2 linked regions of the Danio rerio genome follow. The protein of the gene in region 2 purifies or fractionates together with the protein of the main gene of each other region. This does not show direct contact. Links are inferred from orthologs where the notes say so. Each region holds a gene or a part of one and is shown on either strand. Other genes may lie near its edges.

Region 1 (7,630 bases), on a different chromosome or scaffold from region 2:
GGTAATTACTGTTAGATTTAATGTAAATATACTTTGTAGGGGGCACGTTATATACAGTTATGCGTGTTGTCTAGTCTTGTTTAGTAATGTGGTTAAAAGTATGAATATGAAATGTATCTAGATTTTTTTACCCTGGAAAGTAATCAATTTCTTGCTTTCAAATTCCACTTCAAGCAGTTCATGACTAAACTTAGCCCAGGCTTTATCTCTGCATTATCATAGGCCCAGTGTAAACCTTTCAGATGTCGACTGCCGGCAGATATAACCAAAAAGTGCAGATTACTTTATTATCCAAGTTTTTTTTTAACCATACTGTTCTTTTTGAGTTCTTAGGAGTAATCTTTGCAACATCTTCTCTGTGTTAATATCATCAGGGACCATGCTAAAACATAGCCTTCATTTGATACCCACGTGCCAGTATGCACCTGATCCTCCCAGACCAAGGATAAGTTAAAAATAACCCTTTCCATGTGTTCACGGGTTCCCTATGTACTGTTTTTTAGGACACCGACGGTTGTTTTTTTACAAACAAATTTCTCAAGACCATTTGAACAAGATATTTCTGATGATTTTATTGCATAAAACCTACCCTCTGAATACTATGATAGTAAAATATATCCATGCTTTATTTTTATGTAAGGTTTTTATCAGATATCTAGACATTCAATGTGATAAGTATTGATAAAGTACAATTTAGCATTTTCCCGCTCCAATATTCCTATCTAGAGATGTATAATACAAGCTCAAAGAGTGTTTTTAGACAAAGACAAAGTTTGTTTTCTTGACATAAAACTTGTTTGTCTTCTTGCAAATATTTCAATAAGGAAATTTTACTGGAAACACTGCACAGGAAAGGGTGAAGGTGTTATGGTATCATCATGAGGGTTTAAAAGGGTGGGGGCTTTTTTCATGTCCAAAAATGAATCTTGAAAACAAGTGGATAGGAATGTGTGCTTTGATTGGTTGGAGGAATGGTATGTCACCCTCTGGCTGAGGGTGGTATAAAGAGCAAAGGAACTCTGTTCCAGAATAGATCTGACAACTGCAGGGAATCATTTACTGCTGTGTGCAGCAGCTTGTTTTTAACCTCATTTTTCAAGGAGAACGCCACTAAAGTGATACAGCAAAAGGAGCCAGAGCAACCACCAACATGGACATTCAGCGAACTGCCTCTTTGTTGGGGACTCCTGACTCGATGGAGAGCCTTGAGAAACAGCTAAGCTGCCCAATATGTCTGGACATGTTTACCAAACCAGTGGTCATCCTGCCGTGTCAGCATAACCTGTGTCGAGGATGTGCTAGTGATCTTTATGACTCTCGAAACCCTTATCGTTTCTCTGGTGGTGTTTTTCGGTGCCCAACTTGTCGATTTGAAGTGGTTCTTGATCGCCATGGTGTGCATGGACTTCAGAGGAATCTTCTTGTTGAGAACATAATCGACATTTACAAACAGCAACAAGAGGGTGGTGGAGGAGGTGGTGGCAGCACCACTGAAAGTCCAATAAAACCCAAAAGCTCCAAAGAGCTAATGTGTCAAGAACACGAGGACGAGAAGATCAACATCTACTGCGTTACTCACCAAACTCCCACTTGTTCCATGTGTAAGGTATTTGGCCAGCATAAGGACTGTGAGGTGTCACCACTTGCTAGTGTCTATCAGGCTCAAAAGGGAGAGCTGAGCAATGCCATTGATGCTCTTGTGGCGGGGAATGGCCGCCTTCAGGCGTTGCTTAACCAGATGGAGGAGGCCTGCACAGCTGTTCAGGACAATGCTCAACGTGCCAAACAAAAGCTTGGCGAATGCTTCGATTCCCTCTATGCAGCCTTGGAGGAGCGTAAAAATGCCCTCTTAGAGCGTATTGGCAAAGAGCAAGACGAGAAGGTTGGTGCACTCAGGAGTTTGGCTAGGCGTTATGGGGACCGTCTTCAGGCAGCCACAGAGTTAACAGACATGGCAGTTCAGGCTCTGGAGCAAAGTGGTGCCGCAGAGTTCCTGCAGGCCTCCAAGAACCTGATCTCCCAGACAAAAGACGCAGCAAAGAGCTCACTTGCTGAAGAAAGGCCCGAGCCAGGCTTTGAAAGAATGGACCATTTCACTTTGGATACGGAGCAGGTGGAGACTTTGTTGTCCAAGATGGACTTTGGAGGAGAGGATGATGAGGAATTTGAAGACGCTGAAGATCAAGAAGAGGAGTAAATAAGTTGGAAGAAAAGAAGAGGTTTAGGAAGGTTTAGCAAGGTCATTGACAAATGAGAAAATAGAAGTTTTAATATTCGTATTTCACTGCTAAGCAGTGTTGTCATTTCAACATGTATAATCAAAAGAATATTTCCAAATAACTAGGTGCCATTTTTTATACTTTTTATAATTTAGTCAAAATGCTGCTGTTGTTCTTAAAAGTTATCTTCCTACTTTTGTTTCGCTCAGAAATGAGTCACTGTTGTTTATTTCTGCAGTCTGTTGTTACTAGTTCTGTATTTTCAGTTTACTCTGTTTTTTAATGTTCTTTATTGTTTGAAAATAAATAAAATTGAAAATTGAGATTTGAGTTTTTACATTTATTTATTGTTCATACGTACTGTACAAATCAACATTCACATTTAAAGATACAATGGAAGTCTTGGAGTTAATCAGAGGTAACTGTACACAAGTAAACTCTGTGCACTCTTTGCTCTCAACTGTCTTCTCTGGCTAAAGGCACATGCTATTTTTAAAAGGTAAGAGGATGAGATATGGCTCTGGGGTAGAATACCAGAAGAGGACAGATGGCCATTGCTTCCCTTACCACCACCCACCATCCAGTCTCTGCCTTGCTCAGCAGCTCTTCATTATATATACAGTTAAAGTCAGAATTATTAGCCCCCTTTGCAGAAAGTCTTATTTTTATTTTATTTATTTTTTTGACCAGAATAAAAGCAGTTTTACATTTTTAAAACACCATTTTAGGGACAAAATTATAAGCCTCTTTAAGCTATATTTATTCTCGATAGTCTACAGAACAAACCATCATTATACAATAATAACGGCTAATAATTTTGATTTAAAGATCCCTGCATAACATGCACATGTCTGCCTTTAAATTTTAAAACGGCAGTCTTGTAGCCACTTCTGACCTCTCTGGAGTTGCATTCAAGTAGCTGTAAGTAAACACTGTTGCTATGAGAGAGCTATTTATTTAGTTCAAGAGCTGAAGATGTTTGGAAGTATCTGTAAGCATTTGACTTCTGCCCATTAATAGGACAAACATCTAAATAAAGATGTTTAATTTATAACATTTTAAACAAAATATTATATATCTGAAATGTTTACTTTTGTTGTTCATGCATGCAAATAATGATTAATTTTATGTATTAGATAATTATTATAATTATGACAGAAAATGTTTTTTGTCCTATAGAAACATTAAGTGACAATCTAGTATGCATAATGACTATTCAGTAATGATTTCATTTGTTTCTCTGCTTTATGTAATTATGTGTGGGAATTATGCTATTCTTAAATCATGTTATGTCTCCTCAGTTTGAGTCATTTCATTATAAAATGGATTAAAAAATTAAAGGAAAATTTTTAAGAGATGAATGCATATGATGGTATTGAAGTAATTTTATTTTGCTCAAAATGAAAGCAAAAATTTTTCCCATAATTTTACTTTTTAGTCTCTTCAATTTGGTAAATAAATAAAATGTAATACTTCAAAGTGTATTATTGATTAAATTAATGATTAAAGTAAAAAAAAAAAAAAATACAAATATTTAATTAAATAAAAAATCTTACTGACTTCAATTCTAGATTGAACTAATAATTCTTTGGTCAGTTGTGAATAGGGCATCTTGTAACTAAAAATGTACTTTGCTTTTATTATGTTGATACTTTTCATGTGAATGGGCGCCACTATTTTTTGGTGGTATTGACAAGTGAAACAAAGTAAGTTGCCCATTCCATAAGTTTATGGCATAATTGTTCAACATATGTAAGAAATGCCATATTAGTTAGACATGTATGAACTAGGGCTGCTCAGTGTATCGTTTTAGCATTGATATCGCAATGTGATCATTCACAAAAGTCACATTACAAGTATATGCAATGATGAGTCTGGATTATAATTTATTATGTTATATTTTACAATTGATTATTCAATTACTGTATACCTGAATACAGTTCTACTGCTCAGAAAACAATAAAATGCTTTATGAATAAATATATATTTTTATTTTGTGTTTTTTTCTTTATTCAATTTATTTATGCTTGTAGATAATAATACATTCATTTCAAATAGTTATTCAACTGATCTAAGTGAAATTCTATTTTTATCACAATATATATCGCAGAATAAAAAAAGAATTGTAATGTTATATTTTTCCAATATCGTGCAGCCCTAGTATAAACGATGGCCACAGATTCCTAAAAAATAGTGTTTGAAACCAAAATGCTGAAAAAACAAAAACAAGAATAACCTTTTTAAAAATCTTTTTCTTTATTTTGTGTTTCTTGTAGAGTCAACTCGTAGGAGGGCATATGGGCTAGTGGCTCAAGCTTACACCTCTATCAGTGCAGAAGACTTTGCTGCTTTTGTGGGATACTCGGTAGAAGAGGCCGTCAAAGGTGCGTGTTTTTGAGATTTGAGTGCTCATTGCTTGGACTTTCATATGTTTATTATTATTTTTACTCCAACCATTAATTTTTAGTTCATGTCTTTCTTTATGGTCTTTTGCAAAGAAATATAATGTAATGTTTTTGTCATTTAAATGTTCTTTTGTTTTTTGCTCAAGGTGTAGTAAGTCATGGGTGGCAGGCAGATCCAAACACCAGGATGATCATGCCACAGAAACCAGGTGGGGGCGCTGTTTCACTTCTTATTACTAGCAAGAACAGATGTTATTTTTCAACTTTATGACTCATTTCTCCATAAGGTTTCATTCATTGCCCCTCCTCTGAACAGAAACTTATTCCATTGAGTTCTGCACGGTTATTTCATAACAAGCACATGAAATGGTGACTTCACCTCGATTCCACTTATGTTCTTTGTTCTCCGACTCTCAAATATGCCTTCATTTTGTAACTGACAAGAATCTCTGTAGATCCTGCTCACCTTTAGCTCATGGTTCTGAACGATGCAGCTATTTGCCTTGTTTTTGCACACAGCTTTTTATGTGTTTGCCTGGAACCACTGAGCAAACTTTTTACGAGACACATTTATTCCAAAAGAACAGGAACAAGCAGCATCTGGGTTTCTGCACGGGCCTCGTGAGACAGTGCAGATGTCTGTAATGCATTTGGGTAACTGATGATTGAGAAATGTTTCCCAGTACTGATGACCTGCAGCTTTCACTACAAGCAGCTGATGTTTATTAATTCAACATGGTTGCCATGACAATTTTCTTTTCTGGAGCTGTTGCATCTGTAGTGGACTCTCTTTCTTGCACACGTATTCATGCATTTGTTCTGCGGCACATCTTTGTTTACATTCATATGTCTGTGTGTTATACAGCAGATCATAGAGCGCTTGAAGGAATCCCCTCATCTCTCATGTTTCTCGTCTGCCTTCCCCTCTCTCCAGATCCGCCTCCGGTCTCGCTGGTTCCAAACGAACAACAGCTGGCCAGACTTACCGACTACGTGGCTTTTCTTGAGAACTGATAAGCACTCCGCCCTCTCCCATCCTCTTCCTCACCTTCTCTCAGATACTCTGTTTTTCAGAAGAAAGATTCTGGTGTCCAGGACCCTTCACGAATCCGGTCCTGTCCAGTGATGGAACTGCTGTCGCTCTCTTTCCTGTTTTGCTTCTTGAACCCGTCAGCCACAGTGATATAGGACAATTCCCAAATAGTTTTACATGTACAAATCTGCTTTGGAGTATGCTGTCAATATTGTAAATTATTATTTTTTGGCATAAATACTTCACTTTATGCACATTGTTCTGGTGGTTTCTGTTAGTTTAATTTTACGTGTCAAACAAAATCCCTCATTATGATTTGTTCATATGCCTGATGTCATTTTATAAGATTTTATACAATTAGCGGGGAATCAAGGTGGCTTGCAATACGTCGACCAAATTTTAAACCAAATGTGTGTGGGTATTTTACCTTTCTTAATCTAGAAAATAGGCCCATGCAAGTCTGCAAGTAAGTAGGTTTTTATGATTGTCCAGAAAAAAAGAAAAAACCCTTTGTCTTGAAGGTATTGTTTAGCAGTGCTAACAACCGACAGCTTATTTTGGGTGGCTCACAGTTGTATTTAAGATGTTTTCCACTGTCTGACAAGTGTTTTGTTGACAGTGCATCTCTGTCTGCTGTTCAGATGTTTTGCACCGCTTCCTTGGTTTCTCACGCAGAGTGGTTTTGAAAAAGAAGAGGAAACATACCAGCTGTTGGCTATCGTCATGTCCTTTCAGCTTAAGGATAAAAGCTCCATATGTGCTGAAACAACCGACACATATGGTACTGTGAGAAATTAACACCATTCATTTTTACTGATTGTTTGACCTTAAATGTTATCTTCACGATAAATGTCTTTAGTTTCTTGAAATGTTAATCTTGTGTCAATTTGCATCTTTGATTATATGACAGGCATAAAACATTCAGTAAACTAAGTAGTGTGTCCAAATATGGATGGCTGAGATTCAAAGTGTGCATCCGATGGACAGTTTGGCTACATTTACAAAACAGGGTTTGACTCCTAATTCCAGTTTGTTGAATATATTATGTTTTGAAAAAACTGTATACACCTTTAAAGTGACCTTTATCTGCTACCTTCTTATATGCTGTACACCGTTGCAGATGTACTGACCCTGAAACTAAAAGGTTTAAAACCATTTCTCCTGCACCACCTTTAATGTAAAGCACTGCTATCATTTGCTCAACATTTGCTTTTTCAAAACTCGTTTTCTGCTGTTGAACACAAAAGGAGATGTTTATGTGCCAATGGAGTACAAAGCCGTTGAAAAATTACGTTTACAACACATTTCAATGTTTAAAATCGGTCAACGTTATTAGTTTTATTAAATATATCACACTGCATATCTATGACCATACATTTAATACACAGTCTTATCAGTCTTCAAAGTTATGTGGAGATTGCTTTCAAAGTAACAAAAACAGAGAATAATGCTTCTGTCCATTCGGGTAAGAAATTCTGAATACACGCTTGTAATTTCCACTGAGAATATCAGAATCCACATGTGTTTTTTGCTCACATGATCATGGGTCATATCCAGTCTGAGCAACATGGGAGAAAACATTGGACACTTGTATAAAGAATTTATTTTACCGTAAGGCCATGGGAGATGATTTGAGAATGATTTTCTCAATGCACAAGTGCATTGAGTATTATAAAGACAAAATGCTGAAATACTGACAGAAACCTAATTTGTTAGCTCAGGAATTTCTTTGTGTTTCCATAGTAGTCTAAGAAATGGTACTCCTGAGAGGTAAATGTGTTGAAACAAAACACACAGACCTGCTTTTAATTATTGCTTGGTCCAGCCCAATTATCCTTTCTTTTACATTTATTTTATATTGTATAGTTTTTTGCTCTTTAAACAAGTACATAAAAACTTCAAAGGATATGTGTGGTGTTCTGAGATCATCATTGACCTTACATGACATCAAACAGTAATAAATGCAGACCAGC
Region 2 (8,277 bases):
ATGGCTGTGACGATGCTGGACTCAATAGGCAATGATGACAGTGGGTTGAACGATGATGACAATGCAACTAAACCAACACAACAACATAAAGAAGAAGGTTCATGTTAACCTTCAAATATACATTTTACTAGTGGTCAACAATGATATTGAGCATATTATCTCAACAAACAAACATTACCTTAACATAAAAGCAACAAAATTATGACAAATCAAGACACTGACACTGAACACTGTCATGTACAGTATAGCTAAAAGCTAAACAAAAAAAAAAACAAAAACAAAAAAACAAAGCTATGATTTCGTCCTCTGATCTATCACAGCGTTTATCCAACTTCATACCAATCAGAAGAACAACACACAAATACATATAGTACTCACTTGATATTTGAAATGAAACTACCAACGAAAACAGCCTAAGCTGGGTTTTGCCAGTCTGAGTGGCCATTGCGATATACGAGTGTACACGGGGAATAAAACATTTTAAGGTTAATCCACTTTCAATCACATCCAGTGGTAGATAAAAACACATCCTGGATTGCTCTTGTAGTGTAAACTGTGTACCAATTCTTGTGGTGTAATGTGGTCCAACGTGTTCAATCAGCGACAAAATAGTAATTCTTAAACTAGATGCTGTGTTACTAAAGCACAACCCATGCTGTAAATCAGCTAAAGAAACAGAAATGCCCGATAAAATAACAGATTATTGAATTTGATTAAAGAAAACTGCCAGTTTTTGGTACTGCAAATCTTTTTTAAACTAACTAGGGCATAAGTCTAAAACTCGATTCCTGGAGGGCTGCCACTATGCACAGTTTTCTCTGACCCTAATCAAACACAGCTGACGCAACTAATTAAGATGTTCAAGACTACTAGAGACTATTAAGCAGGTGTGAGTTGGTGATGGTTGGAGCTAAACTGTGCAGAGCTGCGGCGCTCCAGGAATTGAGTTTGAGACCATTGGACTAGGGGGAGAACGGCCTTAACTGCTATAACAGGAATTCGCTTACTCCCATGAATCTGTTTTGGCAAAGACTTGTATAACGGATCCACTGAAATCCCGAAGGGTAGTAGCACCCCAAATAGAGGAGACGAACAGCTGATTGGTATTGAACTGGTTAAACTTCATGCCTGTTATTGCATCTCCAGGACCCATCTAGATGAAGAGCAGAGGAGAAAATCTCAAGTCACTAAAACTGCATTTTTTAAAAGTTTTTCTGTATTTGTGTGCTAATCTGAAAATGTTGAACTTTACTTTTACTTCTGAAGATGTTTAAATGGCTAGGTTGCCTTAATGCCGTTTCAATACCCTGAGACCTTTGTTCATTTTCTGAACATTACTACTATCTACTGAACACAAATTATGATATATTAGATAACATACGAGATCCCCTTTGTTCTGCATGGATATCAATGGTCATGTGATGTTCAAGTATAAGTAAATGACCAAAAACCTTGTCAAGACACTCCATGTAACTTCAGTGGTGATGTAAACATATGAAGCTTCGAGAACTCTTTTGTGCACCAAAAAAAGGTCAAAACTATTATGTTTTGCCAATGTCTTCCACATCAAGTCAGAAAATCTCGAGACTGTTGCTGTCTATGGAAGGTTAGAGAGCTCTCGGATTTCAACTAAAATATAAATTAGTGTTCTGAAGATGAACAAAAGTCTCAGAGGATCGGAGCACTATAAGTGTAAGTAATTATTACCAGAATTAAAAACAGAACTCTTAAAGAGTATATAACTAACCATAAGACTATTAAGTACATTAATCTGAAAAGGAAACAAACATAAACTTAAAATGAATTAGCTTCGAATAGACCCCAGTGTCTATAGTAGGGGTGCCCAAACTCGATCCTGAAGGGCCGGTGTCCTGCAAAGTTTAGTTTTAATTCCAATCAGACATACCAGGTCTAGCTAATCAAGCTCTTACAAAAAATTGTGTCCGAAATCGTATACTTCCACACTATATAGTACACTAAAACAGTATGCAAGCCAAGTAGTATGTCTGATATCATAGAATTTAATAAACAGTATGCGAGAAGTACCCAGATGACCTACTACTTCCGCCGGCTGGAAGTGCGATATGCACATTAATATAGCAGCCTTTTTTATGACACTGTGTGACAATAATTAATATCTGTACAGTACTGTGACGGTTGGGTTTAGGATTGGGGTAGACCTTAATAAAATACAATAAATGGGAAATTTAATAAATAATATAAACAATTCTTGTTAACTTCTGGCGGCAACTATATCCGATCTAGCAACAACCGCTTTAGATAGACGCTACGATATTCCATGATACACCACAAGAGAATTTATGAATGGAAGCGACGCAACTGACACAGGTAGGTCACATGATGATGACAAAGGCCACACTGACACTGTCAGGTCTTGATGCCCAATTTTGATTTGTTGCCGATATCTGATTTTTTTGCCTGTCCGTAGCCAATTCATATGTTTACACTTGCCATACAATTTACGCTGTTGGCACGCGTAAAGGCGGGTTCTAGCATCTGTGCCACACTAGCCATGATGGAAGAAGTTGTCTTGCTTTCAGCTCAGCGAAATATGCAAAGTTCGCCCAACTTTAATATGATTTTAAGGCGGAGGAAGAGAAGGAGGGAAAGAGCTGTCATTACATGCTTGCGCCTATGGTTTATATATGGTGTCCTCCACCATTCAGAGGGATCTGTGGCTACGACAGAGATCTCATGTCTGGTGGGAGCAAATTGTGGCGGGCTTTAATGAGGAGTGGCGGGTCTGAAATTTTAGGATGAGCACACACGCTCTTCCTTCTATGTCATTAAACCGCAGAGAAGTACAACATTGTCAGAATTTTAATGACGTACATAACGAAATGCCGCAATAAATCCAATCTGCTTCTTTACATGATAGTCGCATTGCCACATATCTGATTTACAGTATGTTAGTTTTATTTTCACATATGATGGAGGCCTGAAACTGATATCCGAATATCTGAATGCATTCATTTACACCAGGGGTCACCAATCTCGGTCCTGGAGGGCCGGTGTCCCTGCAGGGTTTAGCTTCAACTTGCCTCAACACACCTGCCTGGATGTTTTAAGTATACCTAGTAAGACCTTGATTAGCTTGTTCAGGTGTGTTTGATTACGGTTGGAGCTAAAATCTGTAGGGCACCAGCCCTCCAGAAACAAGTTTGGTGACCACTGGTTTACACGGTCATAGAACAGTATTTGGGTCACATTTAACTGGCAGTGTAAACGTGGTCAAAATGTCGAATGTAGTACATCCGAGTTTTATTCATATTAGTGACATTCATAGTGTATAGAACATACTTTTCTAACGGCCGAGTAGTTCATTTAAAGTCAAATGCAGTACCTACTAAGTAGCAGGCAATTATAGACACAGCCAAGCTTTCTAGAAACGTCCATGCAGATCTGCTGAGACAAGTTGGAGCTAAAATTTGCAGGACACCAGCCCTCCTGGACCAAGCCTGGGCACCCCAGGTCTATTGAATTTGAAAACTGATGTGACACTTAAAAATGAAGGTTATGTATACTTTACACAAATTATATATACCGTCTAGTGTCTAAATGTCTTGGTTAGATTTGAACAATACATTCGTCACTTTTCAATTCATCTCACCCCTTGTATGAAAGAGGTTTTATTCAGCACATCATAATCCCACAGGATGATGTCTCCACCCTTTGATCCCACTGCAACGGTGGTGGGATGTGTGGGATGCCATTCCAGACTAGTGACCCTCCTGTCAAAGGGACTGGCAGTTCGGTGCAGCTTGTAAGATTTAAGTGAGCGTATGAAAGGCTCTTGCAGACACTGTAACACAAGAAACAATGTTTTATACGACCAGGTTCAGATATAAATAGGAGTTTGTGGCAAATATGTCACCAAAATGAACAAATGCCAAAGTTAAGACAAGAAGGGGGAAATTATGTTTTTTACTGTATAGTTGAAATACATATGCTGCATAATTCTGCAGTCATGTACTAAGCTTCTTTAAAAATGTATGATTTTCATACAACATTAAATCATTATTTAATATGGGTGGCGATATCTAACATTCTAGCGAGTAACTGGTGTACTTTAATCTTCTTTCCCCAAACTTCAATTGTCATTACCTGGCGCAGTTGAGCATGGATACTCTGTCCCAATGAACTTTTGTAAATGTAATGAAGAATGCTTGTTTGGCCCACTTTCTTTTGACCTCCTGTCCATTTCACACTTGCTTGTATATAGGTTTCTGGTACACAAACACAGTTTACCTCATAAGATTACATTAATGAGTGGTTCAACTTTTTCTTTGCACATTTAAACCCAATCAATTATATAACTTAACTCGCAGTTTCGCTTACCTTCTTTTTGTTTGCTCTTATGTTGTTGTTTAGCTTTCAGCTTTTTGGTGGAAGGTTGCGGAGTTTCTTCATTCGGTCTTTTCTTTGAATTGACAGTCTTCGTCTGCTTCGATGCAGCAGAGTCTGTCTGAGCTCTTCCTCGCGCCATTGCAAAGCTACTTTCTGATTGGAAAGGGTCAACAAAGACATGTCATATAGCAATTGCATTACTCGTGAGAACAAAATATAGATAATGACCCGTTCGACTACAATCATGCACAACGTTACCTTGTCTTTCTTTCAAGTGTTTAAGGATACATCCGCCATGAGACCCAAAATTGGCCAGATCAACACCGCACACGTGCACAGACACGAATTTTCACTACATTCAGTGACGTAGAAGATTGAATGTTTTGTAATCGTTGAGTGCGATAAACAATTTATCCACTAGGTGCCGCTAGAGCCTATGTTGGCAGAGGAAGACTGAGCTAATCATGATTTTTTAAAATTAACATTAGTAACGGGATGCATAAAACATTCATGTGTATTAATATTGCGTGACTTGAAAACAAATTATACAAATTCATTGTACAGCTACATAAGTGTGTATACATGCCAATACATGAAAGAAAAACAAATATTTAAAGAAAATCCAATAAAAAATGTATCAAAAGAAATAAAACATAAAGAGATTTGATAATTTAAAAGTAATGATTATAATGATATTATTATTTCAGCAGTACAGTTGTTTTGGCAGCTTTCTTATTTAACTATGGGCAGATAGATTAGATAATCATGCATGGCAATTATAGTTCAGAAAAATAACAGAAATGTAACAGAAATAATCAAATTATTACATTTAAAAAAATATATTTAAACTTTGGTTATATTTGCATACATTTTGTTTTACAGTTTTTAAAAATCAAGAACCACAATATCAGCTCAAAACAATTCTAAATGTCTATAAAATCTTCTTAAATGTTCTACTAAAGAATTCACTCAAAAATGATTTTGGCTACTTTCTTTAAACTACTTATTTCAAATGAGCTGAATCAACACAATTCTTGAGGTTTTTGGGGACAACTTAATTGAATAAACTTAATTGATTTGTGTTTTTTATTTATTTTGTTTTAAATTTTTATTATTTTTATTTTATTACTTTTTATTTATTTTTTATTTAAGCATATAACTGACAAGCATACAGGATTATACGATGACATATGTAACAGTATATATACAAATTATTAGTCAGAATTATTTGCCCCCCTTAGGATTTATTTTTTTCTTTTTTAATTATTTTCCAAGTTATGTTTAACAGAGCAAAGAAATTTTCACAGTATGTCTGATTATATTTTTTCTTCAGGATAAAGTTTTAATTGTTTTATTTCGACTATAATAAAATTTGTTTTTAATTTTTAAAAATCCATTTTAAGGTCAATATTATTAGCCCCTTTAAGCTATATATTTTTTTGATAGTCTGCAGAACAAACCATCGTTATACAATAACTTGCCTAATTACCCTAACCTGCCTAGTAAACCTAATTAACCTATTTAAGCCTTTAAATGTCACTTTGTGCTGTATAGAAGTGTCCTGAAAAATATCTAGTCAAATATTATTTACTGTCATCATGGCAAAGATAAAATAAATCAGTTATTAGAAATAATTATTAAAACTATTATGTTTAGAAATGTTGAAAAAAAATCTTCTCTCCGTCAAACAGAAATTGAGAAAAAAATAAATAAACAGGGCTCTAATAATTCAGGGGGGCTAATAATTTTGACTTCAACTGTATGTATGTATATATATATATATATATATATATATATATATATATATATATATATATATATATATATATATATATATATATATATATATATAATTTCTTTTCATTATTAGAGATGTTTTATAGTCTTCTTGTTTCTTGTAATAGAGGTCAAAGAATTATAAAATATTTTAAAATCTTTACAGAAAAACTTAAAGGGGGAGTAATAGTCATTGCCTTTGCATGTGAAACTTCTCAAGTGTTAGGACAACATGAAGGAATGGTGTGCATTTTTTTCGATTGTAAATGTAAATAGGCCTAACTATTTTCGCTTTTGGATACTTAAAAACTGTAGTCAAACTAAAAAAATCTGTAGTTGGTGCAGTAAAAAGACGTGCTTTACTAACCTTCACTGCACGTTGATTAAAGTCTCAGTTCAAGCTAAATTATTATAAGAGCTTGATAACAGTATATCCTATAAAACAACCATATATTTCCATTTATTTTTATGCTTTATTTTTTGAACATGAAAATTAATACAATAATTAAATAAAATAATTGACAGCAGTTTTCAAGTAAATATTTTTTAAAAATATGAGATACAAACAATTACAGGGGCAGACCACTCTCTGCAGTGAGAGATTTGAGCGTCTTGGATACGGCGCGTTCAGGATGTGTGTACTGACCAATCACAGAAGAGCAGGGACTTACAGCTGACAACGAAAACAAAGAAAGGCATGTTTTCCTCCCACTCGCCACTCTGTGTGTCAGGAGGGAAAACTCAAACATTCACTGTATGTTGTTTATTCAGTTCACACACACTGAACGCCGAAACCACATCTCCATATGACGGTAAGTGTGCCAACAAACACACTTGAGCTGTAAATATCTATGCTGTTGTTTTTGAGAAATAAGTGGTGTTTTATTAAAATATATATTTGATAGAATATTGATCTGGTATAATATTGTTTTAATCTCGGTGTTGGTTACATGATTACCTGAATAAGTAGGCTACTTTACCTGGCATTTTCAGTGTGAAATTAGGCCACGTGCTGTTCATTGTGAGAAATGAGCTTTACTTCAAATATACAATCGCGTGTTTGCACAGAAATAATGCTTTTTTACATAATTAGACTAGGTATTTTTCTGGCCTCAATTGTCCTGACATGTTTTATCATACGTTAATCAAGCCAATTTTTGAAATCAATATGCTATAAACAATGGTTTTACCATGCAATTAGGTGTATGATTTGTTGTTGTTTTTTTTCTGCCTGAAACAAACAAGTAAACGCGTTCTTTTGTTGGTTTATTTTTTTTGGCATTTTTGTTACTTAAATATATTCATAGTTTTGTGATTGCCAAATACAACAAAAATGCATCTCATTAAAATGACATTTCACAGTTCAGGTGATGAGTAACATTTATTGGGCATTGTAGATTTATTGTACTTTTTTTTTTCAAAATGATGTGTGTTAATATGACACATTTTATGCTATGTGTATTGTGATTGTTAAAAAACAATCACAGCTTCCACATTTTGATAAGTGTATGATCCATTCATTAGCCTATATTTTAGTTTCATTTTGTGTCAGATTTGGTGTAATTCTATTGTACTGTTGTTGCCAAATGCAACAAAATTGTACCTCATTGTTCAGCAATAAATGATTGATATTGTAGAATGCAGGTGATATACTTGGATTACTTAATTAATTAGGCTATATGCAGATATTTTACCTTGTATGTATATTCCCACAGAATCATTTCAGGTTCACAAGTCATATGTTATTTTTTATACACATCTCTCCACTGTCTGTTAAACAATGATTAACCAACTGAAAGCTTGACTACCTACAGTAACAACAAACGTGTCAAGTTACTGTATTTAAGCGGTAAAGACGTACCCCTTCTTTCGCCTCAGCTCAGCTCTCCATCTTTAGGTTAATGATCATCTAACATTTTTGAACTTGAGGCAGAGATGGCAATTTTCATGTAGTTATTCTTTGGTGAGAATAAATATGAGCATAATGGGAGTTTAATGATTAAATATGTGTTTATTTAAGCAGGTGAAATTGCGGTCAAAAGGTTTATGACAACGATTAAAACCCTATCTATAGCTCTGCTGCTCACAGCACCTATTGGAGAGATTTAGTTCCTTCTTGTATCCTAAACAACC

Evidence for each region. Proteins that work in one complex are often made in the same cells at the same time.
Region 1: the proteins of ddb2 (region 2) and cops8 purify together in Homo sapiens (affinity purification with mass spectrometry; 6 studies listed by BioGRID and IntAct, counting the BioPlex papers as one, with this or other methods). This does not show direct contact. The link is inferred for Danio rerio from reciprocal best matches to the Homo sapiens genes DDB2 and COPS8.

Annotation. Positions count from the first base shown.
Region 1 is NC_133184.1:25,518,877-25,526,506, forward strand, and holds the end of cops8 (COP9 signalosome complex subunit 8), read left to right. Parts: intron 1-1,029; exon of another isoform or gene 1,030-1,150; coding exon of another isoform or gene 1,151-2,197; exon of another isoform or gene 2,198-2,542; intron 2,543-4,495; coding exon 4,496-4,603; intron 4,604-4,770; coding exon 4,771-4,833; intron 4,834-5,558; coding exon 5,559-5,638; 3' UTR 5,639-6,532; downstream 6,533-7,630. UniProt on the Homo sapiens protein: Component of the COP9 signalosome complex (CSN), a complex involved in various cellular and developmental processes.
Region 2 is NC_133193.1:21,853,289-21,861,565, reverse strand, and holds the start of ddb2 (DNA damage-binding protein 2), read right to left. Parts: upstream 4,776-8,277; 5' UTR 4,627-4,775; intron 4,522-4,626; 5' UTR 4,508-4,521; coding exon 4,360-4,507; intron 4,248-4,359; coding exon 4,126-4,247; intron 3,824-4,125; coding exon 3,632-3,823; intron 1,154-3,631; exon of another isoform or gene 1,014-1,153; coding exon of another isoform or gene 1,008-1,013; intron 1-1,007.